Linked DNA regions of Macaca fascicularis. The protein of the gene in region 2 purifies or fractionates together with the protein of the main gene of each other region. This does not show direct contact. Links are inferred from orthologs where the notes say so. Each region holds a gene or a part of one and is shown on either strand. Other genes may lie near its edges. The genes, in order: CCDC138, MED4, MED12L, IFT20, CDK19, MED9 and CDK8.

Evidence for each region.
Region 1: the proteins of MED4 (region 2) and CCDC138 purify together in Homo sapiens (affinity purification with mass spectrometry; 3 studies listed by BioGRID and IntAct, with this or other methods). This does not show direct contact. The link is inferred for Macaca fascicularis from reciprocal best matches to the Homo sapiens genes MED4 and CCDC138.
Region 3: the proteins of MED4 (region 2) and MED12L purify together in Homo sapiens (affinity purification with mass spectrometry; 3 studies listed by BioGRID and IntAct, with this or other methods). This does not show direct contact. The link is inferred for Macaca fascicularis from reciprocal best matches to the Homo sapiens genes MED4 and MED12L.
Region 4: the proteins of MED4 (region 2) and IFT20 purify together in Homo sapiens (affinity purification with mass spectrometry; 3 studies listed by BioGRID and IntAct, with this or other methods). This does not show direct contact. The link is inferred for Macaca fascicularis from reciprocal best matches to the Homo sapiens genes MED4 and IFT20.
Region 5: the proteins of MED4 (region 2) and CDK19 purify together in Homo sapiens (affinity purification with mass spectrometry; 7 studies listed by BioGRID and IntAct, counting the BioPlex papers as one, with this or other methods). This does not show direct contact. The link is inferred for Macaca fascicularis from reciprocal best matches to the Homo sapiens genes MED4 and CDK19.
Region 6: the proteins of MED4 (region 2) and MED9 purify together in Homo sapiens (affinity purification with mass spectrometry; 10 studies listed by BioGRID and IntAct, with this or other methods). This does not show direct contact. The link is inferred for Macaca fascicularis from reciprocal best matches to the Homo sapiens genes MED4 and MED9.
Region 7: the proteins of MED4 (region 2) and CDK8 purify together in Homo sapiens (affinity purification with mass spectrometry; 9 studies listed by BioGRID and IntAct, counting the BioPlex papers as one, with this or other methods). This does not show direct contact. The link is inferred for Macaca fascicularis from reciprocal best matches to the Homo sapiens genes MED4 and CDK8.

Annotation. Positions count from the first base shown.
Region 1 is NC_088387.1:16,296,318-16,300,496, forward strand, and holds part of CCDC138 (coiled-coil domain-containing protein 138), read left to right. Parts: intron 1-1,586; coding exon 1,587-1,706; intron 1,707-4,179.
Region 2 is NC_088391.1:27,205,328-27,209,506, forward strand, and holds part of MED4 (mediator of RNA polymerase II transcription subunit 4), read right to left. Parts: intron 1,479-4,179; coding exon 1,308-1,478; intron 1-1,307. UniProt on the Homo sapiens protein: Component of the Mediator complex, a coactivator involved in the regulated transcription of nearly all RNA polymerase II-dependent genes.
Region 3 is NC_088376.1:54,233,838-54,238,016, reverse strand, and holds part of MED12L (mediator of RNA polymerase II transcription subunit 12-like protein), read right to left. Parts: intron 3,946-4,179; coding exon 3,856-3,945; intron 2,824-3,855; coding exon 2,714-2,823; intron 2,516-2,713; coding exon 2,380-2,515; intron 1,916-2,379; exon of another isoform or gene 1,854-1,915; intron 1,568-1,853; coding exon 1,406-1,567; intron 1-1,405. UniProt on the Homo sapiens protein: May be a component of the Mediator complex, a coactivator involved in the regulated transcription of nearly all RNA polymerase II-dependent genes.
Region 4 is NC_088390.1:33,791,160-33,795,844, reverse strand, and holds the start of IFT20 (intraflagellar transport protein 20 homolog), read left to right. Parts: upstream 1-1,503; 5' UTR 1,504-1,599; coding exon of another isoform or gene 1,600-1,612; 5' UTR 1,613-1,648; coding exon 1,649-1,724; intron 1,725-1,882; coding exon 1,883-2,011; intron 2,012-3,349; coding exon 3,350-3,435; intron 3,436-4,685. UniProt on the Homo sapiens protein: Part of intraflagellar transport (IFT) particles involved in ciliary process assembly. May play a role in the trafficking of ciliary membrane proteins from the Golgi complex to the cilium.
Region 5 is NC_088378.1:14,654,159-14,658,337, forward strand, and holds part of CDK19 (cyclin-dependent kinase 19), read right to left. Parts: coding exon 4,179-4,179; intron 996-4,178; coding exon 923-995; intron 547-922; coding exon 449-546; intron 345-448; exon of another isoform or gene 1-344.
Region 6 is NC_088390.1:17,591,445-17,595,024, reverse strand, and holds the end of MED9 (mediator of RNA polymerase II transcription subunit 9), read right to left. Parts: intron 2,978-3,580; coding exon 2,761-2,977; 3' UTR 1,033-2,760; downstream 1-1,032.
Region 7 is NC_088391.1:6,304,970-6,309,898, forward strand, and holds the start of CDK8 (cyclin-dependent kinase 8), read left to right. Parts: upstream 1-1,842; 5' UTR 1,843-2,355; coding exon 2,356-2,483; intron 2,484-4,929.

The DNA.
Region 1 (4,179 bases), on a different chromosome or scaffold from region 2:
GAGTCTCTCTTCTGCGGGATTCTCCCTACACTCTGGCTCGTCGGGGCCCCTCTTCCTGATTTTCCTGCAGGAAGACTGGTTTTCTCTCATTCTTTAGTGGACATTTTTTAGAGCTTTAGTGGAAATTTAAAAAAAAAATTTTTTTTTAATTGTTGCAGAGACAGAGTCACTGTGTTGCCCAGGCTGGAGTGCAGTGGCTATTCACAGACGTCATCATAGCTCACTGCACTCTCAAGTCATCTTCGTCCCTCAGCCTCCTGAGTGGCTGGGACTATAGATGTGTACCACTGTGCCCAGCTAGTGGAAGTTTTTGTTCTACTTCTCTGTGTCTGGGACCCACCCTGAGGCAAAATGTTGACAGAAGAGGAAAAACAAAAATGCAGGAAACTTTACCCTTGAGAGTTGCTTCTACAAGTTTTCTCCCTCATCACAATGTCCTCCCCTTTTTTCTTTTCACAGTTGTCAGTTAGTTGTTTTGTTTTAATTAGGGCTTTTTGCTGTAATCAGTGGGAGAAGACTGTATTGAGCTTATCCTGCTGTGCCAGAAATGGAATGCATATGTTTTTAATATCTTTTAGATATGGAAAAAGTTGGACAATGAAAATATTAGTTTTAAAAATAACTATTTGTGACTATATCCCAAGTTATTAAAGGAATTAATATAGTAAAATCATACAAAGATTAACTTCTTAGAATATTGGATTTTTTTCACAGGGCTAAAGGATGCTTAGATTCTCTGATCTCTCCATTTTAGTCTTGTTCTTGATTCTCTCTCTTTAGATTTGTGTATCTATTTTATTAAGTATAAAGATAATTGCCTTATTTTCATCATATTTATATCATTACTTGGAAGAAGGGAATTAATTCAGTTTTTTTATTTCCTGTAGAGACTTGTTTTAAAACTTTGTGAGTAGGTTGAGAGTGAAAGGTGAAACTATTAAGTGTTCACATTTGAAATCTAAAACATGCTATCCCATTTAAATGTAATGAGAGGGGAAGTTGATTTGAGTTATTTTTAAAACTGATTAAGAAGAGTCAAATCGTTTGGGGCTCAGAAATTGTATTATGTATTTAACATGTTTTGAGATGAAAAGCAGGCATCAAAAATTTTAGCTGCTGTATGAGGACAAGAAATTAGTTGGTTTTATAAAAGATTTCTTCTATTTCTCAAGGGTAATGTAAATTATACACTTTATAAAGCCATAAATAGCTTACTTATCTCTTGAAGAGTATCAGAAATTCTTTATTGTTTTATTATTCCATGATGTCAAACAAAATATTTCTGTGAGTTTGCGTGAGTGGATTTTTCTGAGCAGAAGCAGAAAATAGACTTACTGCTACTTTGTAAATGCTAATATGTTTTAATAAGTATGTTGTAAATGCCTTTGACGTTTTGTTGTTATCTTGGTAGATTGCATGGTTTTTATAAATTATTTGCCACACTAGTCACTTGTGCTTAAATACGCTTATTAAAGGTTTTGTGATTGAAGGAGTTCTTACTTGTAATTAATTCATGTTCCATAGTATTAGTGATATACAATCCTTACAAGTTTTAGGTCACAGTTGTTTCTTTTTTCTCCTCCTAGCAACATGATGCAGAAGTTGAACACTTAACTGAAGTTCTTAAAGAAAAGAATAAAGAAACCAAGAGACTGAGGTCCTCTTTTGATGCGTTGAAAGAATTGAATGATACCTTAAAAAAACAGGTAAGACCAGTTTGAATAGATATTGGACATAAGACATTCTAAGAACCATATTTCATATACAACAAATTAAAGTCAGCCTTAGAACACGTTTCGGCTAGAGAAAATTTGGATTACATTTGTTAGCTTTATTTTAAAATACTTCCAAATGTAAATAAAATATTCTTCAACTCTTTGGTTTCTTTCTTTATTTGTTCTGCAACCAACTGACAGGCAAAGGAAAAAAAGACAAGCAAAAGAAAAAAAGACAAGCAAAAGAAGAAAACCTGATAACCTGAGAACTAATTACATTTTTAGGTAGTGATGTCTGGCTTTAATACTTATTATTTATCACTACTTATTTAACATTCATTTATTTTTTAGTATCTATTATATCCTAGGCATCGTGCTAGACTCAGACCTTCACATTGCTCGTGTTCTCATGGTTATAAACTGGTATCACATTGCAGTATACTTACAAATAAGTTTTGTAGGCCGTGCACGGTGGCTCATGCATGTAATCCCAGCACTTTGGGAGGCCAAGACGGGTGAATCACGAGGTCAGGAGATCGAGACCATCCTGGCTAACGCAGTGAAACCCCGTCTCTACTAAAAATACCAAAAAAAAATTAGCTGGGCGAGGTGGCGGGCGCCTGTAGTCCCAGCTACTCGATAGGCTGAGACAGGAGAACGGCGTGAACCCAGGAGGCGGAGCTTTCAGTGAGCCAAGATCGTCCCACTGCACTCCAGCCTGGGCGACAGAACGAGACTCCATCTCAAAAAAAAAAAAAAAAAATTAAAAAAAAAAGCATTGTAATTTAGATTAATACATAATATCAAAGTTGCATAACATAAATATTTTTGTGAGTTATGTCTATTTTTTTCCTTCCCTCTGCCAGTTTTTGGCAGAAAGATGTGAAAGTAAAGGAGTATGTTAAAGAGAGACAAGAGAAGATTATGTATTTTTTAGATTGTGTGGGGAGTAGATGTTGGAGCAGAAATTGGAGTAAACCCCGTCACTTTGAAAATGAAAGCATTGGGCTGTGAATCTGTACGGATTATAAAATGTAACTTAAGCCTCAGACTCTCCCGGAGTTCCTTTGCCAGCTGTCCTTTTCTGTTTCTGCTTTTGTTTCCCTTTAATCTCTACTTGTTGTGATCCTCCTCCTTGGCAGTGATACATAGGTACCCTGTTTCTCACCTGATTCTAATTCTTTGGCTTTCCTCAGTTCATTTATGACTGTTACTATTGGACTATGAATTTGATGGCCTGTTGTCTGTTCGGAATCCCGCTTTATCCCTGGAGAGATCACTTTTTCTCATTACAGTCTCATTCTACCACTCTCTCATGAGGATTTTAAAAATTCCTAGCTAGATAAACTGTTGCCCATACCCATCTCTTAGGTTTCTGTAACCCTTAATAATTTTGCATGTGGTTGCATGCGTGTGTGGTAATTGGGGTGGATATGTGGATTATTAAATATTTGGACCTATTGGTAATTGGATTTATGAGCTAATGTGTACAAACTGAAAAAATGTGGCAGAATGCTTTTTTATGGTTTCTTTGTTAAGAATAGATCAGAGGTCAGCGCACTTTTTCTGTTAAGGACTAGATAGTAAGTATTTTGGGCTTTGTAGGCCATGTGGTCTCTCTTTACTGACCCAGCTCTGCCATCATAATGCAAAAACAGCCATAGGCAATAAGTGAATGAGTGTGGCTGTGTTCCAAAACAACTGTATTTATAAAAACAAGCAATGGGCATATTTAGCCAGCTCCTGGCCAGATGAATGACATGTACTTTGAAATTGCTGAAGAAAAAGATATGTTATTTCTGTGACTGACTTACACAGTAATTTATGCTAACACTGGATATACATTTTCTAATAATTTAAAAGCATTTCTTGTTAAGTCTAGCTGAACTGAGGAGGCAAGGATTAATGTTCAAGCGTCATCATGGGGAGATAGTCCCAGTGAACACCCCAAGATCTCAGTTGAAAGGAGCAGGGTTGTGCCTTGGGACTGGGTGAATTAGAGGGAGACAGAACTTTCCTAAATTGAAACCTGGCCTTGATTAAGTGCAGTTCCTGATCAGATTAAGGTGCTTACTCCTCAGTTTAAATGCCTAGCAGAGGAAAATACGTCTTTCATTCTATACAAAATGAATAAGCATATCAAAAGACAGAATTGCATAACTCAAAATGAAGAAGAAAACCCCAGAGAATATAAGGGTACTTGCAAGTGATCCACATTTAACAGGCAATGACTTTAAAATAATGATTAATATGTTCAAGAAAGTAGAAAAATAGATTGACAGCTTCATTAGAGAATTCCTAGCGTAGGTACATTTTTGCCTATATAGTAAGTCTGTGGAAAGGAATTAAATTGAAATTTGAAAACTAAAAAACACATCAGTTGAATTTAAGAATTCCATCGAATGGGGTTTTAAAATTATTTTTAATTGACTTAATTGTGCATAATTATGGGGTACAGTGATAT
Region 2 (4,179 bases):
CGGGTTCACACGATTCTCTTGCCTCAGTCTCCCGAGTAGCTGGGGTTACAGGCACACACCACCACACCTGGCTAATTTTTGTATTTGTAGTAGAGACGGGGTTTCACTATGTTGGCCAGACTGGTCTCGAACTCCTGACCTTGTGATCTGCCTGCCTTGGCCTCCCAAAGTGCTGGGATTACAGGTGTAAGCTACCACGCCTGGCCTGATTTTAATATATTTTAAAAAACCATTTACTAGTGAGTTGTTTCCTCAGTAAGGGTGATTAATTTACCCTGAACTACGCAGGATTCTAGTTACTGGAGCTCATTTTGACACATTTGTTAAGAGATTCATCAGTGGTTAAGGATGCCAGCAATGTCTGGTCGACATGAGAATTAAGCTCAGCTATTTCTGCAATACTCTTATATTATATTAGTTAGTATTTAGTGAAGTAACTGGGCAAATAGTAGCAAATAAATTGCCTCTTTGAAATAGTAGCCAAGAACAGCAAAGGAAAAACTCAGATCCTTGATATATGTCCAAAGCCTACCTAGATGAGGATGAATGACTAAATTAATGTAAATTTTAATCAATTTATAAAATGTGTACATATTTTTACTAATTTCAAAATATATAAAAAATGAAAAATGTCCCTGATTTTTATCTTAAGGATCAGAGACCAAAAAAAAAAAAAAAAAAAAAAGATTTAGACTACTGATATTAAAATTTATATCAGACCAGGATAAAAGTAAAACTTTCCACTCCTATAATTCAATACTGTAAAATCCTTAAGTAATGAAAATGTGGCTCACAAGTAATGCAGGCTATCTGAAAATGTAAGTAAAAAAGAGAATGACAATAGCCTTTCATTCAAACACGGGCAATGGTTAGTGACAAGATGTCACTTTTAGACTTGGAAAGTCTAGTTTTTTTGGCCGGACGCAGTGGCTCACACCTGTAATCCCAGCACTTTGGGAGGCCGAGGTGGGCAGATCACAAGGTCAAGAGATGGAGACTACGGTGAAACCCCGTCTCTACTAAAAATACAAAAAATTAGCCGGGCGCGGTGGTGGGCCCCTGTAGTTCCAGCTACTCAGGAGGCTGAGGCAGGAGAATGGCGTGAACCCGGGAGGCGGAGCTTGCAGTGAGCCGAGATTGCGCCACTGCACTCCAGCCTGGGGGACAGAGCGAGACTCTGTCTCAAGAAAAAAAAAAAAAAGGAAAAAGTCTAGTTTTCTGCTCTTCAAAATACTGACAACAGATTTTTCAGAAACAGATTAAACAATATCCTTTTTAACCTTAAGAACCAACCTCTGTCAACTTACCAGTATCTGTTCTGCTTCCTTTAGCTGTTTTTGTAGTTGCTGAATATCACTGTCTCTCTTCTCTACTTCTTTTTCTAAAACTTGCATTTCATGATGAATTTTTCCCTGATTAAGTGCCAATTTCATTAGTTCTTGAAATTCCCCATCTCGGTGAATTAACAACTCCAGGACCTGTCAGATAACAGTCAATTAAATCAAACAATAGACTACTGAAAGGCTGCACTTCAATGAAACAAAGAATCCATAACTGAATTGGCTAGGCTATAAATTTCAACACCTTCAAAGTATTATTCCCAATTCTTGTTAAAAATAAAAATAGCCTACCTATGATTATTCTGGGAAACATAAATATAAAACTTTTCTACTTTTTCAGCTATTCTTTCATACAAAACAAAATAAAACTAGTCTTTCAGAACTAACAATATGGCAACATGAGCAAGTTTAGTGATTTCCTAGGGAAGATACAATTCTAAAGTTTATCCTTATGGCTGAGCACAGTGACTCATGCCTGTAATCCCAGCACTTTGGGAGGCTGAGGCTGGCGGATCACTTGAGGTCAGGGTTCGAGACTAGTCTGGCCAACATGGTGAAACCCCATCTCTACTAAAAATACAAAAATTAGTTGGGTGTGGTGGTGCCTAAAATCCCAGCTACTCAGCAGGCTGAGGCAGAATTGTGTGAACCTGGGAGGTGGAGGTTGCGGTGAGCCAAGATCATGCCACTGCACTCCAGCCTGGGTGACAGAGTGAGACTCTGTCTCAAAAAAAAGAGTTTATCCTTAAAAATACAACATAGGTCAGGCACGGTGGAGGCAGGCGAATCACCAGAGGTCAAAAGTTCGAGACCAGCCTGACCAACATGGAGAAACCCCATCTCTACTAAAAATACAAAATTAGCTGGGCATGGTGGTGCATGCCTGTAATCCCAGCTACTCGGGAGGCTGAAGCAGGAGAATCACTTGAACCCAGAGGCAGAGGCTGCAGTGAGCTGAGATCGTGCCATTGCACTCCAGCCTGGGCAACAATAGCGAAACTCCATCTCAAAAAAAATATATATATAATGAAGGTTCTCCCAAAACTTAGTATTTGAGATGATTTTAGGTGGCACCAAGAACTTAAAAAAGCTTTTACAGTTACACATTTGTGCTAATATATATTAGAAAAAACTGAGACACTGAAACTCTGATTTTATGCACAGTATTACTTATGATGAAGATGATCATAAAAATACAGTGATTTTGCCAGGTACAGTGGCTCACGCCTGTAATCCCAGCACTCTGGGAGGCCGAGGTAGGCGGATCACAAGGTCAGGAGTTTGAGACCAGCCTGACCAACATGGTGAAACCTCGTCTCTACTAAAAATACAAAAATTAGCCAGGGGTGGTGGCACACGCCTGTAATCCCAACTACTCAGGAGGCTGAGGCAGAAGAATCACTTGAACCCAGGAGGCGGAGGTTGCTGTGAACCCAGATCATGCCACTGCAGTCCAGCCTGGGTGACAGAGCGAGACTCTGTCTCACAAAAACAAAACAAAACAAAACAAAAAAACAGTGATTTCATAAAACAGTAAATAAACAAGTGGTATGCAGATATGGCAAAAAACCATGAAGCCTAAAACACATAAAATAGAAAGTCTGGTGGTTCATATCTCTAGTCCTCCATTTGCTAGCTGTGTGACATAGGGAAAGTTACCCGCCTCTCTGAGCCTGTGTTCTTAATTGGAAAAGGAATATAATATTAATAGTAGCCATTACATAAAGGTATTGTGAGGATTCATGATATAATGCACTTTAAGTACATACAGGAAGAGCTCAGCAAAGGCTAGTTATTACGATCACCACCCCAGTACAGAATTAAGATGCAAGTTTAGTCTAAATACCCTTACTTTACTGTGCTAAGTAGAGAATACTACTTCAGAAAGAAAACAGCTGTCAAAATTCAGAATCAATTTTAAAACTATTTTAAAAAATTTGTTGAAGACTAAAAAATACAGGTATGTCTCTTCAAGTTCCTTTTGACATGAAGTTCCTCTCATTTTTATAGAAATTCTTCTAATACAATAGACAAAAGACTGAGCTACAAACTGCCAAATATTGAGTATTTTAAATAACAACAGAAAGCTTTTTCTGTAAAAAGTAAAGTATATTCTATTTATTTAATAGACCTCTAATCCTCATTCCTCCTACATCGTAGCAGAAAGCTAGGCTTCCATTTCTGTAAAAGCTGTATTATTAAGGTAAGTAGTACACATTAGTTCCATGACAACTTTCAAGAAGTTTTCACAGTTTGAACTAATTTATATACTACCCACGAGTAAAAAATATTCTCTTTAGATATTATTGTTCAGTAGAAAAAAATTACTCAACTAAAGTCAGAAGACCTAGGTTCTGGTTCCACTCACCATTAACCTCTAGCTCATCGGTTCACCCTGGAACTCAGTCTCACAGGAGGTTGAACTGAACATCGTTAAGATCCTAATTCTAAAATTCTATGTAACATTATAACTATTCAAATAAAATGGTGGCTAGAAAATTTTCAAATGGCCACATTCCTCTCTAATATTAACAGTTTCAATGAAAATTACACAGGAATCCACAGTACTAAGTACAAGATACAATTCACAGAATTGCTACTCTTTAGAAAGTACAAGAAAGCTCAGTGCTGATTATAGGTCTTAATTATCGCCTTCTGAATAATATGTGTGCCTGGCTCATAGCAAGCATTTAATAAGTGTCTATCAAATAAAGTCAAGCCTTGCATTTTGCTTCTTGCACATTTTGTATAAATTCCTATTTAAACCCACGGGTATTAATAGAGTACCTGAGAGACTAGCAGTCTTCTATTAACATATTTATCTCTAGACTCTTTCTCT
Region 3 (4,179 bases), on a different chromosome or scaffold from region 2:
CTGGGAGGCAGAGGTTGCAGTGAGCCGAGATCACATCACTGCACTCCAGCCTGGGCAATAGAGTGAGACTCTGTCTCAAAAAAAACAAAACAAAACAAAACAAAAAAAAAACAAAAGTTAGCTGCGCCTGGTGATGCATGTCTGTAATCCCAGCTACTCAGTAGGCTGATACTGGAGAATTGTTTGGACCCGGGAGATAGAGATAGAGGTTGCAATGAGCCAAGATCGCACTACTACACTCCAGCCTGGGAGACAGAGCCAGATTCCGTCTCAAAAATAAATAAATAACAAATAAGTAAAACAAAACAAAACCAAGGTTCAATTATCACCTGTAAATTGACTGTTCCCAATATTTGTCTTGAGATGAGAACTTTTTCCTTGGTGTAAAAACCACATATCCAGATGGATTCCAGATGTCTTACTACCAGGAAGTCCGCTGACACTGCAAACTCAAACTTGACCATGACTTTAGCTTTTTTTCTTTACACAAACTGGTATCAGATTCTCAGACTACTCTAAATTCCCTGGTAAATCTGATTCTTTCATGTCTTCTTATAAACTCTCCCTTTATTTGTACCACAATTTTCCCTACCTCCCAGCTAACTCTTAATCCTTCAAAATGACTCATGTCAATTTTCCTGGGGACCCTAGTCTATCCCCTAATACTGTCTCTGTACCATGACACACAAATCTCATCACACTGTAATTGTCTGTCTACTTCCCCCTTCACGGTAGGAACTCTTTCATCTTGGTGATTGTGGAATGTCTGTGGTTGCTTAATGTTCATTAAAAGAATAACTGACCACTTTTCTCAAACAATTTTTATTTGAAATAGCTTACTACATGAAGGTTTTCTTTTTTTTTTTTTTTTTTTCCCCCCAGAGACAGGGTCTCACTTTGTTTCCCAGGCTAGGGTGTAGTGGCTATTCAGAGGCATGAGCCTAGCACATTGCAGCCTTAAACTCCTGGCTTCAAGCAATCCTCTTGCCTCAGTCTCCCAAACAGCTGGAACTAAAGACATGCGCCACCATGCTCAGCTTACAAGAAATTGTGTATTGATAAATGTATTCTGCTTCTCAATCTGAAGTAAAACCAGAACTTATTTTTGCTATTTTTTTTTTTTTTTACACTAAGCTTTTACTTAGTTTCTCTTGGCATGTTTCAGAAATTTACTTAAATTCAGGGAAACATTTTAAGTCCTTTAAACATATAAAACGAAGATCTTCAAAGATATGACTTCTTTATATGATAATGCCAATGACTAAGTACACTTAGAAGACAAGCATATGCCTTAAAAACATCAACAGCAAAATTGAGATATTTTATATATCCTATGGTAAGACAAGAAAAAGTATTTGATTTTTTGTAAATAAATGTATATATGAGAAAAAACATTTACTCTTGCCTGTTTTTTATCTATAGAGTCAAATCCAGCAATTTTGTTTCCTTTTGTGTCAATCAAGGAACCCATAGGTTCACAAGTGATGACATCACATGTCTGTTTCGGCAAAGGTAGTAACTGTCGAACTTTGTCAATACTTTCTGATCGCTTGTCTCCTAGCTCTTTCTGAAGAAAAAAGAGAGAGAGAGTGAGTGAGTGAGTGAGAAGCGGGACAGAAATTACAATGAAGGCAAAAGTTAACCAGAAAGAAGGTTCCTTATGAAACATTTCCCTTTTTATAGCTTAGCGCATGTTCTTTAACCCTGAACATGGTCTACAAGGCAGTTCCAAATAGAGTAGTGAGTGTTTCATTTCTTCTATTTAAGTAGAAAATAGAACACATACACAAAGGCACTGTTGTTACACAACAAACATCGTAGTGCTGAAATGACAAAAATCCAGGGTAGCAGTCACAATCAGAATGCAGGAGCTGCAGAACAGAACACTTTCTCATGTCCAGGGTCAGATTACAAGGTAACCATTGATTTATTTGATTGGTAACGCATCAGATTTATTTGTTTTCTTTTTGCACTGTTTTCTTACAATTTTTTTAAAAGATTCTGTTAGTGGTCAAATGAATTGATTTATAAATATCAATGCAGATGGTTATTTTTTCAATTACACGTGCCAGTCCAAGCATAGAGTTATCCTAAATCTATCTAATGTTAGTATTCTGGTTATACATTTAACAGTGGATTTCTAAAGTTCTTTTAAAAATTAAACATGTTTTATAATATAATGTTAATAAAAAATAATCAAGGTTATGTGCTTGTAACTTCTGGGTACTGATAAGGTTAGGTGAAACAAATAGCAAATAATCACATTAAATTAAGTTGAATACAATTAATAACATTTAATTTAAGTAGTAAATTAAAATGCACTAGATAATAAATCCATGAACAACTTGAGCTCTTAATACAGGCTGATCTCAAACTTACTTTCAGTTTCTTTACTAAATTCATGTATGCACGCTTATTCTCTTCAGATCCCCCTGGGGATGCATTTGATAGGTCAGAGGCTAATGTTCCATTGATTAAAACACCCAGCATGTCAAGAACTGTTGTGAATAATTCACTAAGAAAGAAAGAAAATAATTGTTTTCATCTTAAAATGAAACTGAAATACACTTATTTAACTGAGTATTTTTATTCAAGGCACAAAATTTTTAATAGTATCCAAGTAAATAAGATGTGGCAGAAATCGTCATCAGTATATCAAAGCTTATACCATGCATACATGCAGCAAGATAAATGTGAAATGACAAAAACATACTTGTTAGTGTGCATGTCAACAGTTCCTGATGTAATGATCTGAAGGAGTAGGAGGGCCCAGTCTGTAGTCCACTGGGTGCTCCTCTGCACCGTGTCAAACATTCCTCCTACCTAGCAGATAAAATACAGTAAAATATTTGCATTCTGTAAAATAGAAAACAACATCCCATTGCTTTATGTGGTCAAATTTTCATTGTTTTTTCTTTAAAAAAACAAGGGATGCTCTAGTTTATAGATTATCTTATCTTTTCTCTCACTTACCTACATGTTTATCACTATTTTTAGTTCTTTCAGCACAGTTCATTCAAAAATTAAATAAAATGAAGAAGGGAAGTGAGTATCTGAATGTGGGCACCAATAAACTTAGTTTTCTTTTGTTCCAAATCTTTTATGATGTCCATTTTTATGATGCAATTATAGTTGAATTAAACCTGAATAATGCCAAAGTCATGTAATTCAATTATCTGCAACTTTGTGTTTGCTGTACAATTACTATTGAATCTAAGCCTGCTATCATAATACCATATGGAAACATCCACTAGCACAGCAGTGATGGGCAGGAGGCTTGGCCCGCACGCCTACCAGTTCACATGTTGGGACGAGGTTAGAAACAACTGCAAAAGTATCAAGCAGGCCATCCCCATAGAGGTCTGCACTTGGACCTGCCTGATGGGAAAAGAAAACTCAAAGGAGTGCACAATATGTGAGAAATTTTAAATTTCTTTAAAACTTCTCTGTGGGATTTGTCTTTATAATCAGTTTGATGGAAAGTTGGACAAAACTTTGAGTTAAAAGACTTTTTAAATGGTTTTAAATAAGTATAGTAGAAGCTAACACTTATAATAGTCTTCTCAGACCTACACTTAGCACAAACTGAAGAGAAGGAAAGATTCACTAGGGTAGAGGTAAAGAAGGCAAATCAAAGCTTAAAATACCTAGCACTGTCTGGAAGTATGACCAGACAGGAAGGAAAGCAGCAAGGGAAACAGAAGGCTTTAGAAACAGGGAAGTAGTTACAGAGAGCAAAGAGTGGAAGGCCTCACCTTGTAATGCAGACTCTGAACTTAGGAGAAGTGGAAAGCTGGAGTTATTTTCACATGTAGATATGTTTAATGAAGGGAAAATACTAGAAATGTCTCTTACCAAATTTAGGCGGAGTTGCAATGCTTCGTGCATCATCTGCCGCGCTTTTATGTCATCTTGGTATCGTTCTTCTCTCCAGTTACTTAAAATCTAAGATCAGGAAAAAGAAATCATTTTCTCTCCATTAAAGTTTAATTTTTCTCTCAATTAAAGATAAATTGAGCTTTATACTGATAGCAAAAAGCAACTTCTTATCTTTAACAAATTAAGAAACAAAGCTAAATAAAATTTTAGCTTTCTTCTTCCTCTATGCAGACAGAAATCTGGCTAGTTATTTTGCATTTACCCATCTAGGTGGAAGAAGAAAATCTTATATAATTATAT
Region 4 (4,685 bases), on a different chromosome or scaffold from region 2:
GCTAAAGTCATCTACAGACAGCTCATAGACACGTATTAGTTAGCCCATGCAGTGTTGAATGTGGGTTTTCCCCCTTACTTAAAAGTTTTGAATTACATACCAACATTGAGATATTGGATTTCTGGTCCTCTTAAAAACCAGAAGTTCTGGCCGGGTGCGGTGGCTCATGCCTGTAATCCCAGCACTTTGGGAGGCTGAGGTGGGTGGATCACGAGGTCAGGAGTTTAAGACCAGCCATGGCCAACATGGTGAAACCCCGTCTCTACTAAAAATACAAAAATTAGCTGGGCAAGGTGTCAGGCGCCTATAATCCCAGCTACTCAGGAGGCCGAGGCAGGAGAATTGCTTGAACCCAGGAGGTGGAGGTTGTAGTGAGCCGAGATCATGCCACTGCACTCTAGCCTGGACAATGGAGTAAGACTCCTTCTCAAAACAACAACGACAACAACAATAACAACAACAACAAAAGATCCAGAAGTTCTGGAAACAGTGAGACTTGATTATTTTCGAACCATTGCTCCTCTTGTGGCACACCTGCCCTAGACAGCCACCCCCAGAATCACCCCATTCAGAACAGGACTTCTCTAAGGAAGCCACGAGGGAAACAGCTGAGGCTGGGGGCAGTGAGGGTAGAGGGAAGAGGCTGGTGCAGGTCCAAGTGATGGTAGACTTTGGAGCACCTGGGTTTTAGAATTGGCATAGCAGCTAATTGCTAGATGTAACTAGCATTGCCTCCCTTTTTAAACAGGTCATATGATGTCTATTTTTAATTTTGTGTGTGTGTGTGCGTGTGTGTGTGTTTGAGCCAGAACGAGGGTGAGTTTTCAGTATTTCCTTCCCAGAATTGAGGCATCCTTTGGAACAGAAATGCAAGGTGGCTTGGAAAGGGAGAAGATATCTTTGTTAGTTCTCTGTTGCCTACAGAAAAAATCGTAACTCCTTAGCTTGGCATACGGGTCTTCCTGGTCTGGCTCCAGCTCACCTTTTCAGCTCCATCCTTTTTCCTTTCATCCTTAGGCGGGGTAGGTCCTTTCAGTGACTTCAGGCCTTTGTCCATGCTGTTTTCTCTGCTTGGAATACCTATCCCTGGCCTGCTGCCTTGATACGTTCTTGCTGATACTTCATTCCTTTTTGTGTTTTCTGCTAGAAAGAGAATAACCCAACTTTGATTCCCAATTCAGGCAAGCATACATTTTGAGTAATATTCTTACTCCTGACTTTGTATTTTTTAACCATAATTTTTAATTCACCCAGATTTCTTTTATTTGGTTTGTGTGTTGTTCCAGTATGTGTATTTGAGAAGCCTTCTCATGTGCTTTTGGGTACATAACTGGTGATATATAAAGTAAATACACTTATGGCTCACAACTTAGTTCAGATGTCACTCCTTCTTTAACGGCTCTATCCTCCTCTGGCTCTTTACTGATATTTCTAAACAAGCATTTAACACAGTGTGATTTTTCAGTTTCCGTGTCTGTCTTCCTCCAGCTGAACTATGTGTCTTCAGGGCGGGCACCGTGTTGCATTCATCTTTGTACCCCCAGCATCTAGCAGTGTTGGCATGTAGTAGGCACTCAAGAAATGTGTGTTGAATGAACGATGCCTGTGACAAGTAAGCGGACTTTATTCTTTCCTGACCCTTGCTCCTATGACACACCTCCTCCTGACTGCCACTGTCACTCCTTCAGAGCAGAACTCCTCTAGGAAGTCTGGATGGGAAACAGGTGAGGCTCAGAGAGGTGGTGGCAGAGGGAATGGGGAGCCTTTGGAACATCTGGGTTTTTGGCATTGGTGTCCAAGGGCAGGAACAGGGCTGGCTTGGCAGCAGGCATTTCATTGGGTGGCTAGGAAGTGATGAGGAATTGGGCTGGTTTCTTTGCAGCCATGGCCAAGGACATCCTGGGTGAAGCAGGGCTGCACTTTGATGAACTGAACAAGCTGCGGGTGTTGGACCCAGAGGTTACCCAGCAGACCATAGAGCTGAAGGAAGAGTGCAAAGACTTTGTGGACAGTGAGTATTGGGGAGATACCGTGTCACTCAGCTTTGAGCTGCCATTCCAACTGTACCCCAGGCTCATCTTGGCCCTGCCACAGTGGAGCTGCTGGCTCCCTGGAGGTCGAATCTGGCATCTGTGAGTTCCCATGTGCCACCCTTCTCTGCCTGCCCTCGTGCTCTCATGTGTCCCCAGCAGAGCACCAGTCAAACCAAACACTGGGATGGGGAGGGTGTTTTTAGAGATGCCATCTTTCATTTCTTGCTCTTAGAAACCTTAAACTTTCTGGGAACATAACCATGGCTTGGGGGTGAGAAATAGAATTATGTACTCCTGATTTGATTTCTTTAGAGGAAGTCTTCTTAGTGGCAGGTTCTCTGTTATTTGGAGTTAGAAGTGATAAGTGAAGTTTCTAGAAGCAGCTCAACAGACTTACTGAAGTCATCTTTTGGCTAGAAATCTTCAGGAAGCCTCCTGTCCCAGCAGCCAAGTAAGCCCAATGCATTCAGTACAGAGCCCTATCTAGCTAGAGCAAGGGATTTCTGAGCTTTCTGGGGGCTTCCTAGGTTGTGGAGAGAGCTTGATTAGTGAAAGGTAGCTTGGGTTCTGTCACTAACCTTCTGTGATTGATGTGCCATGCACACACCTCTCTGGGCCTTAGTTTTCCCTCAGTAAGTTGTGTTTCCGTCACATCCAGGACATTGGAGAAAGTGAACAGGAGATTAGGCACTTAATGCTGTGAGCTCTCTATTTTCTGTGGTTACAAGTGGGAAGCCCCCATCCCCACTGTTAATTGAAATCTGGTGTCATACCCGTAGCTAGTCCAGAGGCAGCGCTTGTGTCCTGAGGCTGCCCTTTTGTGAACAACAGTGCTTCCTGTCATTCCTGGGGAAGCAGGTTGGGGTCTGTCTGGAGGATGAGCCCAGCAAGGGCCTAGTGCTTTCATAGCCTGAGATCATAGCAGCTGGTTGGCTCAGTGGGGACACAAGGTCCGGGTATGTCCTGGTCCAGCTGGCCACCCTTCTCTAGGTTCAGACCAAGGGTAGGAGACAGGCCAATAGGCACCAAAGTGTTTAAGTGACAGGGTCTCGCTATGTTCCCCAGGCTGGAATGCAGTGGCAGTTCACAGGCATGATCACACATCCTCTAACTCCTGGGTTCAAGTGATCCTCCCACCTCAGCCTCCTGAGTAGCTGGGACTACAGGTGCTCACCACCATGCCTGGCTCACACCAAACTATTTTGACACAAATTAGAAGGGGCAGTCAGCTCTGCCCTCGCACTGCCTCAGCACTCTTACTGAAGGGCAGTGATGAGACTGAGGAAATATTTTATTTTTTGTTCTTTTTCTGAAAGAAATTGGCCAGTTTCAGAAAATAGTTGGTGGTTTAATTGAGCTTGTTGATCAACTTGCAAAAGAAGCAGAAAATGAAAAGATGAAGGTAAGATCAGCATGTCTTCTGCCTACGTCTTGGCCTGGGACCCTAGTTTACTACCCTCTCATCTTTCTTCCCTCTTGATTTGTTTAGAGGGGTGGGTGGGTGAGTTTTCATTTAAGATTTTAAGGCCGGGCGCGGTGGCTCAAGCCTGTAATCCCAGCACTTTGGGAGGCCGAGACGGGCGGATCACGAGGTCAGGAGATCGAGACCATCCTGGCTAACATGGTGAAACCCCGTCTCTACTAAAAAATACAAAAAACTAGCTGGGCGAGGTGGCAGGCGCCTGTAGTCCCAGCTACTCGGGAGGCTGAGGCAGGAGAATGGCGTAAACCTGGGAGGCGGAGCTTGCAGTGAGCTGAGATCCAGCCACTGCACCCCAGCCTGGGCGACAGAGCGAGACTCCGTCTCAAAAAAAAAAAAAAAAAAAAAAGATTTTAATAACTTCTAGTCCACTTAACCTACTGAACTTACGCCAGTCTTTATTTCCTTTAATCTTTTTTTTTTTTTTTTTTGGAGACAGAGTCACCCAGGCTGGAGTGCAGTGGCGCAATCTCACTGCAACCTCCACCTCTCAGGTTCAAGAGATTCTCCCACCTCAGCCTCCCAAGTAGCTGGGACTACAGGTGTGCACCAACACACCCAGATTACTTTTTTGTATTTTTTTTTTTTGAGATGGAGTTTCCTCTCGTTGCCCAGGCTGGAGTGCAAGGGTGCGATCTTGGCTCACTGCAACCTCCGCCTCCAGGGTTCAAGTGATTCTCCTGCCTTAGCCTCCCGGGTAGCTAGGATTACAGGCACGCGCCACCACGCCTGGCTAATTTTGTATTTTTAGTAGAGACAGGGTTTCTCCATGTTGGTCAGGCTGGTCTCGAACTCCCAACCTTAGGTGATCCACCTGCCTCAGCCTCCCAAAATGCTGGGATTAAGGTGTGAGCGACTGCACCCAGCCATTTTTTTTTTTGTATTTTTAGTAAAGACAGGGTTTCACCATGTTGGTCAGGCAAACTCCTGACCTCAAGTGATCTGCCCACCTTGGCCTCCCAAAGTGCTGGGATTGCAGGCGTGAGCCACCACACCTGGCCTCCTTTCATCTTCATATCAGCACTGATGTAGATGGTTTTATCCTTATTTTATAAATGAAGAAATGAAGGCGTACATAGTATGATTGGTGAAAGGCACAAGGCTGAATGGCACCACCAAATGTGCTATTGTGTCTGTGTCCCTGGCTCTAGGAATACTCCTAGACCTGTCTC
Region 5 (4,179 bases), on a different chromosome or scaffold from region 2:
TTCATTAGCACCAAAAATAAATTAATTTGTATTTGCCTTAAGAAAAACTGCACCTCTTATAGATGAAAACACAAAGTCTATACTTGGGGGTAAAAAGGATGGAGGAGTAGAGGGGTTTTGTAGTGCTCTGGAAGACAGATTAACTTCTGTTACCTGCTGGTTTGGCTGAATTTCTGATCCGGCCAATTGGTCTGTGAAGGTCTTACCTGTTCTCAGCTTTAGTTTTCATCGTAAAACTGACAAATGGTCGTTCCTAAAATACTTGTTTTCATTCATACCTCTCTACAGCTTTGCCTGTTTCAAAATGTGGAAGCTTTCTCTTGAGCAGTCTTTAGGTGGCATCACTGAAAAAGTTAAATACTTCAGTAGCAAGTGCTTCCCTTGCTTTCAAACACCACGCCACCTCCTCAGCCTGGAGCAAAGGACACAGAAAAGACGGGACACATACTCTAATGTTGGCAAAGGGTCCTCCTGAAAATAGGGATCCTGCAGAGCTTGCTCCGAGGTAATTCTCTTGGTTGGATCCATGGTCAGGAGTTTCTGAAGCTAGAGTGACACACAGGAAATGCAGAGCACATGAAAAGGTTGTTTACAAGTCAACGCCTTGCCTTTTGTATTCCTGTGTAACAGGATTAATATAAAATACATTTTGTATACCTCACTGCAGATTAAGCATACTACATACTTTTATGTGAAACTGGCAGAAATCATCAGCCTTAAAGCCCTTTTAAAGTTCATTTTCTGCTGATAAATCATTTAAAGTGAAGGCTGAAAGACAAGGGTGACATCTCAACAAAAAATATTTAATTTTGCCCCAGCATCCAACAATTTCTTTTGTTTCTAAAGAGGAGGAACAGCTGAGTGAACAGAAGGCGAGAGTTGTGCTGAGAATCAGATTTCAGTCTGGGAGAGAAGCACCTACCAAGAGGAACACTTTGCTGTCGGGCTTGACCTTGTGTTTCTCCATGTACTTTATGAGGCTACTGTTGGCATACCTGCAAGGACACACACAGTCACACGTCACTGGGAACGCTCATCCAATTGATATTTTTTAATGACAAGCTCCAAGATTGGCTTTCCTATAAGGTATGTGTTTAAGACATTGTTTTTTCTGATTAAGAAGGAACACATTACCAAATATTAGCAAATGTGTGAAGAAATAGGAAATGTCACACATAACATGAGAGTTTACACTGTTACAATCCCTTCGGAAAACAGTTATGCATTAACCATTAGTGTTGAAAATGTGTATAGCCTATGACCCATCAACTCCATTTCTAGGCACAAACCTGAGTCAAAGGATGCTTTTGCACATGTATATCAGGATACATGGATAAAAATGTTCTTAGCAGCATTTTAGTAATGGTCATATATATATATAGACAACCCAAATGTCCATCAACTGAAAAATGGGTACGTTTTTATATATACACAGAATGGAATGTTATACAACAGTAAAAACGAATATGCGAGGTTAAGTGAGGAGAAAAAGCAAGTTGCAGAAGAAAATACATAATATGTTACCATTTATAAAAAGTTGAAAGACAATAAATTGAACAATATTTTTAGAGTTACATAAACATGTGGACTAGAACTCTAATAAAAACTGTGGGATGATAAACTCAAACGCAGAACACTCAGAGTCTATCCTCTGGGAGGGAGGTGGATAGGGAGATGGGGCACACAGAGTACTTTAGTAATCTTAGTGATGTTCTAATTCTTAGGTTCAGAGGTGAGCAAAGGGGTATTCATTTTATTATTCTAAATATACTATATGTTTTTTCATTATATATTATTTCCTACATATGAAATATTTCAAATTAAAAAGGTCTAAAAATAGTTAATATATGTTCATGATAAAAAGAATTACAGAATATAGAAAGTATAAGGAAGAAAATTAAAATCACAATCAAGCCACTCCGTGGCCAAAAAACCACTGACAAAATTTTTATAATGTCCCTTTGGCGTTGTGTGTGTGTGTGGCATATACATACATGGTATAAACACAGGAATTTTTGCTTTGTTTTTATAAAATTGGAATCCTACTATAAAAATTGTCTTAGCTTTTTATTTAATATTGTTCCATAAACATTTTCCCTTGTCAAATACTCTTCAAACTTATTGAGTGGCTGCCTATCTCCTACTGGTACGGGTATTACTCGTTTCATAATAACTGTGGCATACAAGTCGTTGTAGCTAAATCTGATACGCATGGCAGGGAGCCGACACTGCCTAGCGGATGAGACTCAGAGACCCCTCCTAGACCCTGATTCAGTCATTCACCAATTGTGTGATCTTGGGCAAGTTAGTTAACCTCTGTGAAAGCCTTAGGTTCCGAATCTGAAAAGTGGAAACTGTAATTATACCTACCCTATAGATTTGCTAGGAAGATCTTAGGAAAAAATGTCGGTAAAGGGTTTAGCACCACCCTGGTATATAAGAAGTACTCATCTATTTGTGGCAGCTCTGATTACTTCCACAGGATAAATTCCAGGAATTATCAGGTCAAAGGGCATGCACATTTTAAAGTCTTTTTTAGGTGCTCTAGAATCTCACTACACAAATGTAGCCTTTACCAGCAACCTGGGCATCACCTGAGAGCCTGCATTAGAAATGAAGGTTCTTAGTCCTCACCCCTGATTCTGACTTAGAATCTACATTTTTAACAAGGTCTCCAGGTGGTTTGTAGGTACACTGAAATTTGAGAAGTACTCATTCTCTCCAGTAGCATATGAGTAATAATTTTTAAAAAATAAAAATAGAGATAGGGTCTAACTATGTTGCCCAGGCTAGTTTCAAACTCCTGGGCTCGAGATCTTCCCGACTCAGCCTCCCAAAGTGTGGGGAGTAAAGGCATGAGTGAGCCACTGTGCCTGGCCGGAATGTCCATTTTACTGTACCCTTGCCAACAAGGTACCATACAATGTTAAATGAAAATAACTAGTTTGGTTTTGGGTGTTTAAAGAATTTATAGAACATTCAGGTTGGGATTCCATAAGGCAATTAGATAAATGATTTTGAAACTTGGAAAAGTGAACGGAGTAAGATACATATTGGGAGTTATCCACATAATGGATGGTGAATTGTGGCCATCAAAATCATGACATCTGACTGGGAAAGTATCCAGAGTGAGAAGAGGGCCCAGGATAGAACCTTGATATTAGCACTGTCCTTGAGAGATGGATACAGGCAAAGGACCTCACCAAGGATTGTGAGAAAAAGGGGTCAGAAATGATCAATGCCAATCTCTATTTCTCTTAATGATGTCTGCTTTTGTTCCTATAAGCCATCCTGTCCTAAAATTTTCCTGGTAAGTTGCCAATAGAGAAGCTCTTCCACAATTTTCGGTAGGTGTGCATATTTATAACAAACACCTCACATGCCATCACCCTTAATCTCATTTCTGCTCAAAGTAAATGCCTTCATCAGTTTGTTTTACTCATATTCCAAGCCACATGTTCTTCCTTCTGCCAGCCTTCCAGGTTTCCTAGTCCAGCATATCAGTTACCAGTCATTACTCAGAAAAAATAAAACCACAGCTGTGGCCTTGAACGGAGACCTTTATTCATGCTAAAACATAACAGACATAAACTACCCATTGACCCTTACATTCTTAAAAGTCTTTAATACTGCAGCCTAAACCTGAACTATATACGTTAATGGTATCTGGAATACCTTTTGTAAATCACAGGCATAATTAGTATGCTAAAATCTCAGTTTCTAGTTTAAATAACAATCTACATATGTTTTTTAAAAAGATTAACTATTCTCATTGAAATTACTACCTATAATTAATGTGCACTATGGTTTGAATGTTTATGTCCCCTCCAAAATTCATGTTGTTGAAACTTAATTCCCAATGCAACAGTGTTAGAAGATAAGGCCTTCCAGAATCGAGGGCTTTGCTTTCAGGAGTGGGACTAATGCCTTGTAAAAGAGGCATCACACAGCATCTGCCCCTTTTTGCCCTTCTATCTATGTGAGGACACAGCAACAAGGCACCACCTTGGAAGCAGAAAACAACCTTCACGGGACTCCAAACATGCCAGTGCCTTGACCTTGGATTGTCCAGCCTCAAGGCCTGGGAGAAAACAAATTCCTGTTGTTTATAAATTACCCAGTCTAAGGTATTTTTTTACAGCAGCACAAAAAGACTAGGACTGTGTGGAATTACTTACG
Region 6 (3,580 bases), on a different chromosome or scaffold from region 2:
GGTTCCCTAGAAAACCAGGAGGAATATAAAGGATTTCAGGGTTCCCCCTGGAGATGAACTCTTTCTAGCCATCCATCCGCTTAATTTTCTTTGGGTTCGATGACAAAAGGCCTCATTTTCTGAAAGAATGTTTTGAATTCTTCAGTGTAAATGCCACTGGAACTGTGCCTAGCCATTTTGTCACCAGACTCAGTGTGGGCCCAGGCAAACTTTCAGACTGTTGGAGGCATCACTCAGGCCCTGGGGAAAGAGCCTGAGACCCATCTGGAAGCAGGCCCATCCTGGTGCCCACCCCCACCCCCTCACTCCAGGGTGCCACCCTGTCTGGAGACAGGGAACTCCTTGGCCTCCGCTCCCCACTAGCTCCAGGCAGTGCTCATGGCCAGGTGTGGAGCCCCATGCCCCGCTCAGCCTTGCTGTCTCCCTCATGGCTAAGGCACCCTGGAGCACCACTCTCTTTGCCACTAGTACTGTAAACCTGTGGTGGGCGACACCTGCCAAGCCTCAAATTCTTCACCCCAGGAAGAGTGAACACCCCTGGCATGGGCTCGCTATGGGGATTAAGTGCGATGTTTGAAAAGTACTTAGCACAAATGCTGGCCACCCAGTAATCCAAATAATTGGTGGCTTTGAGAGGGTGCTCAGCCCTGTGAGAGACACTCAAAATCGTCTGAGAAGGATTTCAACCCTGCTCCAGTGAGGGTGGCTCCTCCTCCAGTCACAGAAAGGCACCCCCCACCCCGCCGCGCCCCACCAGAAGAAAAAAAAAAAAAAAAACGCAACCACGGATGGCCCAGGGGCTCGTGACAGGCACTGGCAGGGATGACACGCCAGGCAAACTGCCCTTGAGGCCAGCCAGGAGAGGAGTTCCTGTTCCATACTGGTTCAGCAGGTGTGTGTCCTGGGGCGGAGGGAGGTGATAAGCAGAGGTGTGGTTCTGTGTCTGAATAGACAGAAACATTTTTCTCTCAACTCCCTGAGAGCCATCCCACTATGAATTTCTCAGTCCAAAAAGCATGATGTCCTGAGACAGCAGAGCGTAAGTCCTTTTAATTATGCATTTGAAAAATGTTACAAGTCAACAAAGGAACACAAGGCAGGCTCCGGCTCCCTCCGCCCCTACGAGGAGCCCTTGTCCATTTCAGCCTTGCACTCAGAAAGACCCTGGGGGTCTTGTATTTTCCACGTGCTTCATGTTTCATGGTATCTGTCAGAGCCTTAAAACTGGCCCACCCACTACTGTGAAATTTCAAGGAAATAACTGATTCAGTTAAATAACAGTCCCAAGGTAGAACTGGTCTCACAGGTGACCACTCGCTTAAATCCAGAGCCTGCTTTTCTGCCCAAAGCCACTGAAATCTGATCTCCTCCTTCACACAGCCCCAGGTCCCCAATATGCCACCCACCTTCTGACACGTGGCTACAGGTCTACACTAATGGAAGCTCTGCTAAAAACATCTCCACCCAATCCTCCTGCCAACGAGGTCAGTTGACGGGCATCTGTTAAGCCCCTAAACTGGTCAGCGCAGGTTATGTGCCCATTCCTAGACCCAAACAATACTCCAGGACTTCACACCTCCTCCTCGAGAGGAAAGGGAGAGAACTGCTCTTACCTCAGTCTGACAGGCAAGGGAGAGCACACAAACAAAACGTCCCATCTGGAAGAAATCAGGGAAGCTGGGGAAATGAGGGCTGTTCACAAACTTTTAAGAGCTCAAACTTGGCTGTGTAACTTTCAGACCTAGCTCATGGTCGGGGACCACCTGAACTGGCCCCCAGGGTTGCCGCTCTCTGAACACAAGGTGCATAGTGAACCCCTCTGCAGTGTAGTACATGTTGCTGCCACAAGTGCAAAGGCCAGAAGGAAAAGATCTTTTAACCAGAGCAATGGGAATCTGAAATGCCAGAAGGGGGAAGGTCTGTTCGCCTGAAGACCTCTTCGAGCCTGTGTGGAAAGGATGGCCCCTTGTCAACCCTGGGGAAGCACATCTGAAGCGTTTTGTCCACTCTTGGGCACTGACTGAGGGTGATGAGCGAGGAAGGGAGCAAGAGGTGACCGCGAGGAGAGCCCAGGAGGCAGGGAACCTGGAGGAGGCAGGGAACCTGGAGCAAGGGGCTGCCTGGCAGGGCTCTGGGCTGACACCCCCACAGCTATAGTTCCATTCACTGGCTCAAACATAAAAGGAACCAAACTGTTTGGGAAAAAGGCCACCCTCTGGCCTTTCAAAACATTATCTCACAGTTCTACGCCATATGAGCGCAGGCTTAATTCATCCAGTGAATTCTATGCAAATGTTTCAAGAAGCTGCTTTAACGGGAACAATGTGTACCTGGTACACACTGATCCTATGGGGGTGGGAGGAGAGGGAGGGAAGGAAGCAAAGAGGAACTGCCTCCCTTCCTACTGTGCTCTTCAGATCTGTCAGTGGAGCCCGGCGCAGCAGATGGCCCCCTCCCCAGCGGCAGGGGAGAGCCCTCCACCCCCTCCGCTGCCTCCAGGAGCATTCTGACTTCCACCAGCAGGCACTCCAGTTATTATGCATCTAGACATATGGATCTACACGAAGAAACCCAGCGCAGCCAAGCTCGGTGCTGGCTCCCGCACAGGCGACGCACATGCAGCAGCACAGGAGCCCCGCCCCTGCACCTTGAGGTTCTGAGCTGGGGTCCACAGGAACCACGCCCCAAGGAGACTTTGGGGATGGTAGTGGGGAGACAGGCCATTGGCTTCCCCCCGTTTCTCAGGAAGTCGGCCTCACTCTACTCCTTGGGGATTTCGAACATGCAGAGGCTCTTGTACTTTTGCAGAAGCTCGTTCTTGGTCCTGACTTGCTCCCGGAGGCTCTGCAGCTGCTGCTGCTGCTGCTCAGGGCTCAGGTGGATGCCGGGCATGGTGCTGATGAGCTTGCGCATCTCCTGGAACTTGGTTTTGAGGGCGTTCAGGTCCTGGTGGACCTCCGGGCTGTCCTTGTCCATGCTGTGGGGGAAGAACAGCTGTTAGCATTCGCAGCTTGATACATGTCTTGGCTTTCCCATCCTGCACCCCCCAGAGCTCGCTGTCATTCCTGCGATAGCTTTTAGAACACTTCATTTTATGTGTCTAGCCTCTGACTAGGCTGTCCACCCCCAGAGGAAGGGACGGGTTCTCTTTTAGGCAGCCAGCAAAGAGCTCCCAGGCCTAGAACACTTGCAGATCACACACAGACACTCTTGATCTTCTGTCAAGTCAACTGTCACTCTGTGAGGTCAAGGACCATGTCTGTCTGGTCACAGGTGTCTCCCTACCCTCGGCCCAGTGTGTGGCACACTGCAGGCACTCAAGAAATGTCTGTGGAAAGAATGAATGCTTGGCAAATAAGCTCATGAACATGTTGGTTCAATTAACAAACCAATACCAATATCAGGTGACAAATGCCAAACAAAACTTGCTAAAATATGACATTTTGTCTAATTGGAGCCATTTCTAGGCCAATCAGGAGGCTTCACCAGCTAGCAAGAGCTAATTTTAGCTGAGGTTTTGATGCTGGCTTGAACCTCTTAACATAAAGACTAATTTCCACAGAGCTGTTCATAAATTTTA
Region 7 (4,929 bases), about 21 Mb from region 2:
ACCCTGTCTCAAAACAAAAACACACACACACATAAAAAGGTCTGAGACCTTCAGTGTCCCAGGATAGCGTGTATAATTGGTACGGGAGGTGGGGGAAGGGGAACCCGATACAGTGTAGGGCCAAGCCGAGTCCTCGGCCTCTTCACAACTTTTCCTCTGGTGTGGTAGCTTGATTTCTCAAGATCTATGAGTAAATACGTGCACAAAAGACACATTCCTCAAAAAATACAAAATACACTGTCTAAGGAAGAATCTTTTAAATCCGTATTTAGAAAGATGTAATTCTTTAAGGATGCAAAGGAGCAGTTCTGCCAGAGTCACCCAATTTACATCACTGAATGGAAACAAGTAATATGCCATTAATGAAAGCTTACATGTGTTTTGTGCTTTGCACTTAGCAAAGAAAAAATTCTAGGCTCCAAGAACACACTAATAAATGATAATACAGGATTCAAACCCAGTATACGAAAATACTAAATACTTATATAGTATGCTAGGTAAAAACAATTTAATTTTACACAGTGCTGAAGTCGCTAATTTTCCCCAAGGAAAAATTATGTAAGAGAAAGCCCTTTGGAGGTTTTTTCACAAGATGGTATCTTCATCATCATCATATGCATATGGATTTTTTTTGAGATAAACATGTTTATTCATTCATTAATTTAACAAGTGTTTACTGTGCATCATTATCAAGGCATGACACTAGGTTTTATGGAAGATGCAAATATGACTTCCTATAACAACTTAGGATCTAGCAAGGGAGAGGAAATAAAAGATGAAACGGAATTTGATAAATAACACAGGAAAGGTGGAAAAAAAGTGTTAAAAAGTTCACATTAAAAGTGCAAAGTTCCCTTTGGGAAGTGGGGAGCTTTAGTGGAAATGGTAACAATTGGAAACCAAAAATTAAAAACAGACAAATAAGAGGGATAAGATAAAATGATAGATTAGTATCAATCTTGAAGCAGGACTCCTGAAGCAGGACATACTGCTACCGCAAAATTATTAACAAACTAGTTCCCATGGATTTAGATCCTTTCTGTAATCATAGCTAGAAACTGGTGTTCTTATGGGGAGCATCGCAGAAGGCTGTACTGTACTCAATACTTCCTATAAATGGACAGGAAAGGTTGGATGGTCATCTGTCACAAGAGTAACAATGTTTAGAAGTAGCTTGGACAGTAGTCATTGATTCACTTTTACTGGAGCTTGTAATGTCAGTATGTTGACATCATTGTGCAGCCCTTATCAGATTGTGAACACCAAGAGTACCCCAACTGCTGGCCCGCGAGCTGTTTACAAATATATCCGCTTTTATAGATGACAGTGGCCTTTAACATCTGGAGTTCAGAGTGGCACAAAATGTGTTTCTAAAGCTACTCTCCTTCCCACGTGCATCTCTTTGGTCAAGTTTATGGCTGGAATCAGACTCTAGTTAGATCGCTATAAAAATAAAAATAAAAATAAAAATAAATTTTCCCCAAGTGATTGAAACGAATTTCACCCTAGACTACGAGTCCCAACATGCAACGCTCCCATATTCCCACCATGTGGGGCGGAGTCGTAGAAGAGGCGGCAGCGGCGGCGGCCTATGCATTCTGGGTATTGTAGTCTCGGAACCGGCCACCGCTGGGGCTGGTCCCACGTGTTGCGTTTTGCGGCAGCTTTGGGCAGCGGCTCCCCTGCTCCCTCCACACGGTCCTCAGGGTGCCAGCGCCAGCAGGGGCGGCCAGCCACCGCGGGAGCGGGTTGGAGGGTGGTTCGGAGGCAGCCCGAGGCTTCGCGACGTTTTTGCGACAGCCGCGGCCGTGTTCCGCGAGTGCCCTCCCTCCTCCTCTCTTTGAGGAGGTACCGGCTGTTGTGCGGCGCTGCCTTTCTGTTTGAGTGTATGGGAGAGTGAGTGAGTGAGTGAGTGTGAGCGTGTGTGTGAGCGCGTGAGGCGTGAGTGCGCGTGTGAGAGGACGAGAGCCCGCCTGGCCGCCCCGCCGCTCCCGCCGCAGCAGGAGCAGAACGCGCGACCGGAGAGAGCGGCGGAGCCGGCGCCCAGGGAGCCCGCGGGGACAAGGGCAGAGACACCGCTCCCCACCCCCAGCCCTCGTCCCTCGGCTCTGCTTCGCCGGGGGATCCTCCCCGTTCCTCCACCCCCGGCCGGCCTCTGCCCCGCTGCCCCCCTGGATGTCCCCGGCGCTTTCGCGGGGCCTCCTCCTGCTCTTGCCGCATCAGTCGGGCTGGTGCTGCGGCCGGCGGGCGTAGAGCGGGCGGGTTCCCGGGGGCTGCGGCTGCCCGTGCTTCCCCGGTCCCCACCCCTGCCCCCCGGCCCCCCGACCCAGCTCTCCGGCCTCGGAGGCTGTGACAATGGACTATGACTTTAAAGTGAAGCTGAGCAGCGAGCGGGAGCGGGTCGAGGACCTGTTTGAATACGAGGGCTGCAAAGTTGGCCGAGGCACTTATGGTCACGTCTACAAAGCCAAGAGGAAAGATGGGTGAGTGTGTGCGTCTGGGCCGGTGTCCGCGCTGGGCGGCGCTCCCGCAGGCCGAGGCAGGTAGCCCGGAGGGAGAGCGGGCCGCCGGGGTGCCGGGCTCTGACTTCCTCGACGCCGGCCTCTGGCTCCGCCAGCAAGGTTTGGGGAGGAAGTGGTGTACAAGGGATCCAAAGCCACAAGAAATCCTGCGTGCCGCATCTGTGTTGTGCTTCGGTGCTAAGAGGGAAGAGGAGCCTCTGCACCGTGGGCTATATACTTTTCAAGGATTTCAAAGCTGATTTATGAAAAAATGCGTTCTAAAACGCCGGGTGAAATGTTTCTGTTTGTTTTTTTTTCCTTGGTCGATTTATTATGGTAACCTTCTGGGGATTTCCTCACCCGCCTCGGGAGTGTCATCCATCGGTCTAGAAGGAAGGCTGTGATCCTTTCCCCCACCAGTTTGTGATCGATTTTTTATCAAATTTGTATTTTATTTGAGGGAAGGAAGGCAGCGAGTGAATGTAGTTCTGGAGAGAGTTCCCCATACGGATCATCTGCACCATACATGTTGCAGTTGCTATTTAGATATTATTAGCTGTGAATTTTTACATAGAACAATGGGGGTTTGGTGCAGGGTGGGTGGTGGGGAAGAAGACAAGTGACATAGGGACTATCTCGTTGAGGCTGTTTCCCCCAAATTTAGCGGCTGGCAGTGAACTTTAAATAATCCCTTTGCTTTAAATATTCTTCCCTAGTAACAACTTAATTAAACCTATGAGTGGTAATGCTTCCAATTTAGTTTCTTAACAGGCAAGTGAATTGTTCGTTTTTTTCTCTTTGTCAGTAGATGAATGTCTTGTAATATTGACAAAAGAGAAGGCAGTTCTTAGTGGGGGGGAATAATATATATTTTATTAACTCCATGTTTTCTTGTAAAATGGATGTTGTCTCTGTTGCCTTTGACAGAATAGAAAATTATTGAAAAGTCAAAGCTTATTATATAATCTTTGGATTTTATTAGAAACGAAGTAGCTTTACTGGAACATTCCAGTTTAGTTACCTGCTATATGATGTTTAATCACTTAAAATTTCAGATTAGGAGAGTATGTTCAGACTACATTAGCACGAAAAAAAATTCATAAAGCTGAAGTTCCCTAGTGTGGGGGAGGGGGGCGCATATTTATAAATACTTTAGTATTCTGGATGTTGGAAAGGAAAGTGTGTATTTATTCAACATTTTTCTTAGATTTACTGAAATATCTTTCTAAAAGTGTTTACAATGGACTCTACGAGGAAGATAAGAGTTCTCATTAATTTGGAATATGTATTTTAGTGCTTTTATGCCACAATAAAGTGGAACAGATCGGCAGAAGGTAGGGATTTGGATTTGAAAACTTGATACTCTGGGCGCCGCACGTATTTAAAAGTACTTTTTAGCACTGGAGAAATCAGCGTCTGGAGATACTGCTGACTCTGTTGATGTCTAATTAGACTTATTGTTGAAGTTTTACTCTGTAATGACATATATTTTAAAAATTATGTTTGATAACTTACCATACAATATTTCTCAAAAGCTTTAAACCATCTCTCCTTCCCCCAGTATTATGTAATTTTGGGCATATTCATAAAATCCCCAATCCCATGAGATTAGACATTACAGTGCATTTGACCACACTGTCATGTTATATAAAATTCTAGCGCCTTTGCATTATTTTTAATCTGTGTGAGAGAAGCCGCTTCTGTTTTCAAAAACTATGAACTTAAGCTAATAAAATATGCATATTTGTTTTAACGTTGTACTTTTATTAGAAAACTAATACTGTGTATTGGCAGGAGGTACTTAAGCAAATATTTTATATCTCCATGGTCCGGTTTTAATTTAGGTTGTTAAGAATAATTTGAAAGAATAATTTCAATATCTTTGAATTTAAAGATAGTTGAAGGTATAATGTATGGACATTCTTAGTCATCCGTGACAGCTGAAAAGTAACATTGCATTTTGGAAAAAAGAGCTTATTATTTGTAATCCTTGGCGTTTGTTTTCCATCAGTCTTTAATGATTCTCTTTATGTGATGAACTTCTGTTTTTAATGGATCAAATGTCAAGAGAGTTTTAAAATTACTATCTTTTAGAGATAGTTTTGGAGAGTTTTAAAATTACAGGGATTTTTCAGTTTGACTTCTTTTTTGTAACCTCACTCTGGTAAAATATCGCATACTATTTATGAGGTTCTTTTGATCTTATGTCAGTGAAATGTAATTTAATGCATTTTAGTCCTGGTAAAATAAAATTTGTGGCTGTTTAATCTTTTATAATAAGATGATGATCAAATAATTTGTTTCTAGTATTGATTTACTTTCAAATTACATTATATATTCTGCAGCTGAGATTTGTTCTCTAGGAACTCAGACGGTAACACCTTCAAGGAGAACCTGAGAATTTCTATAAAAGGAAATAACACAAATA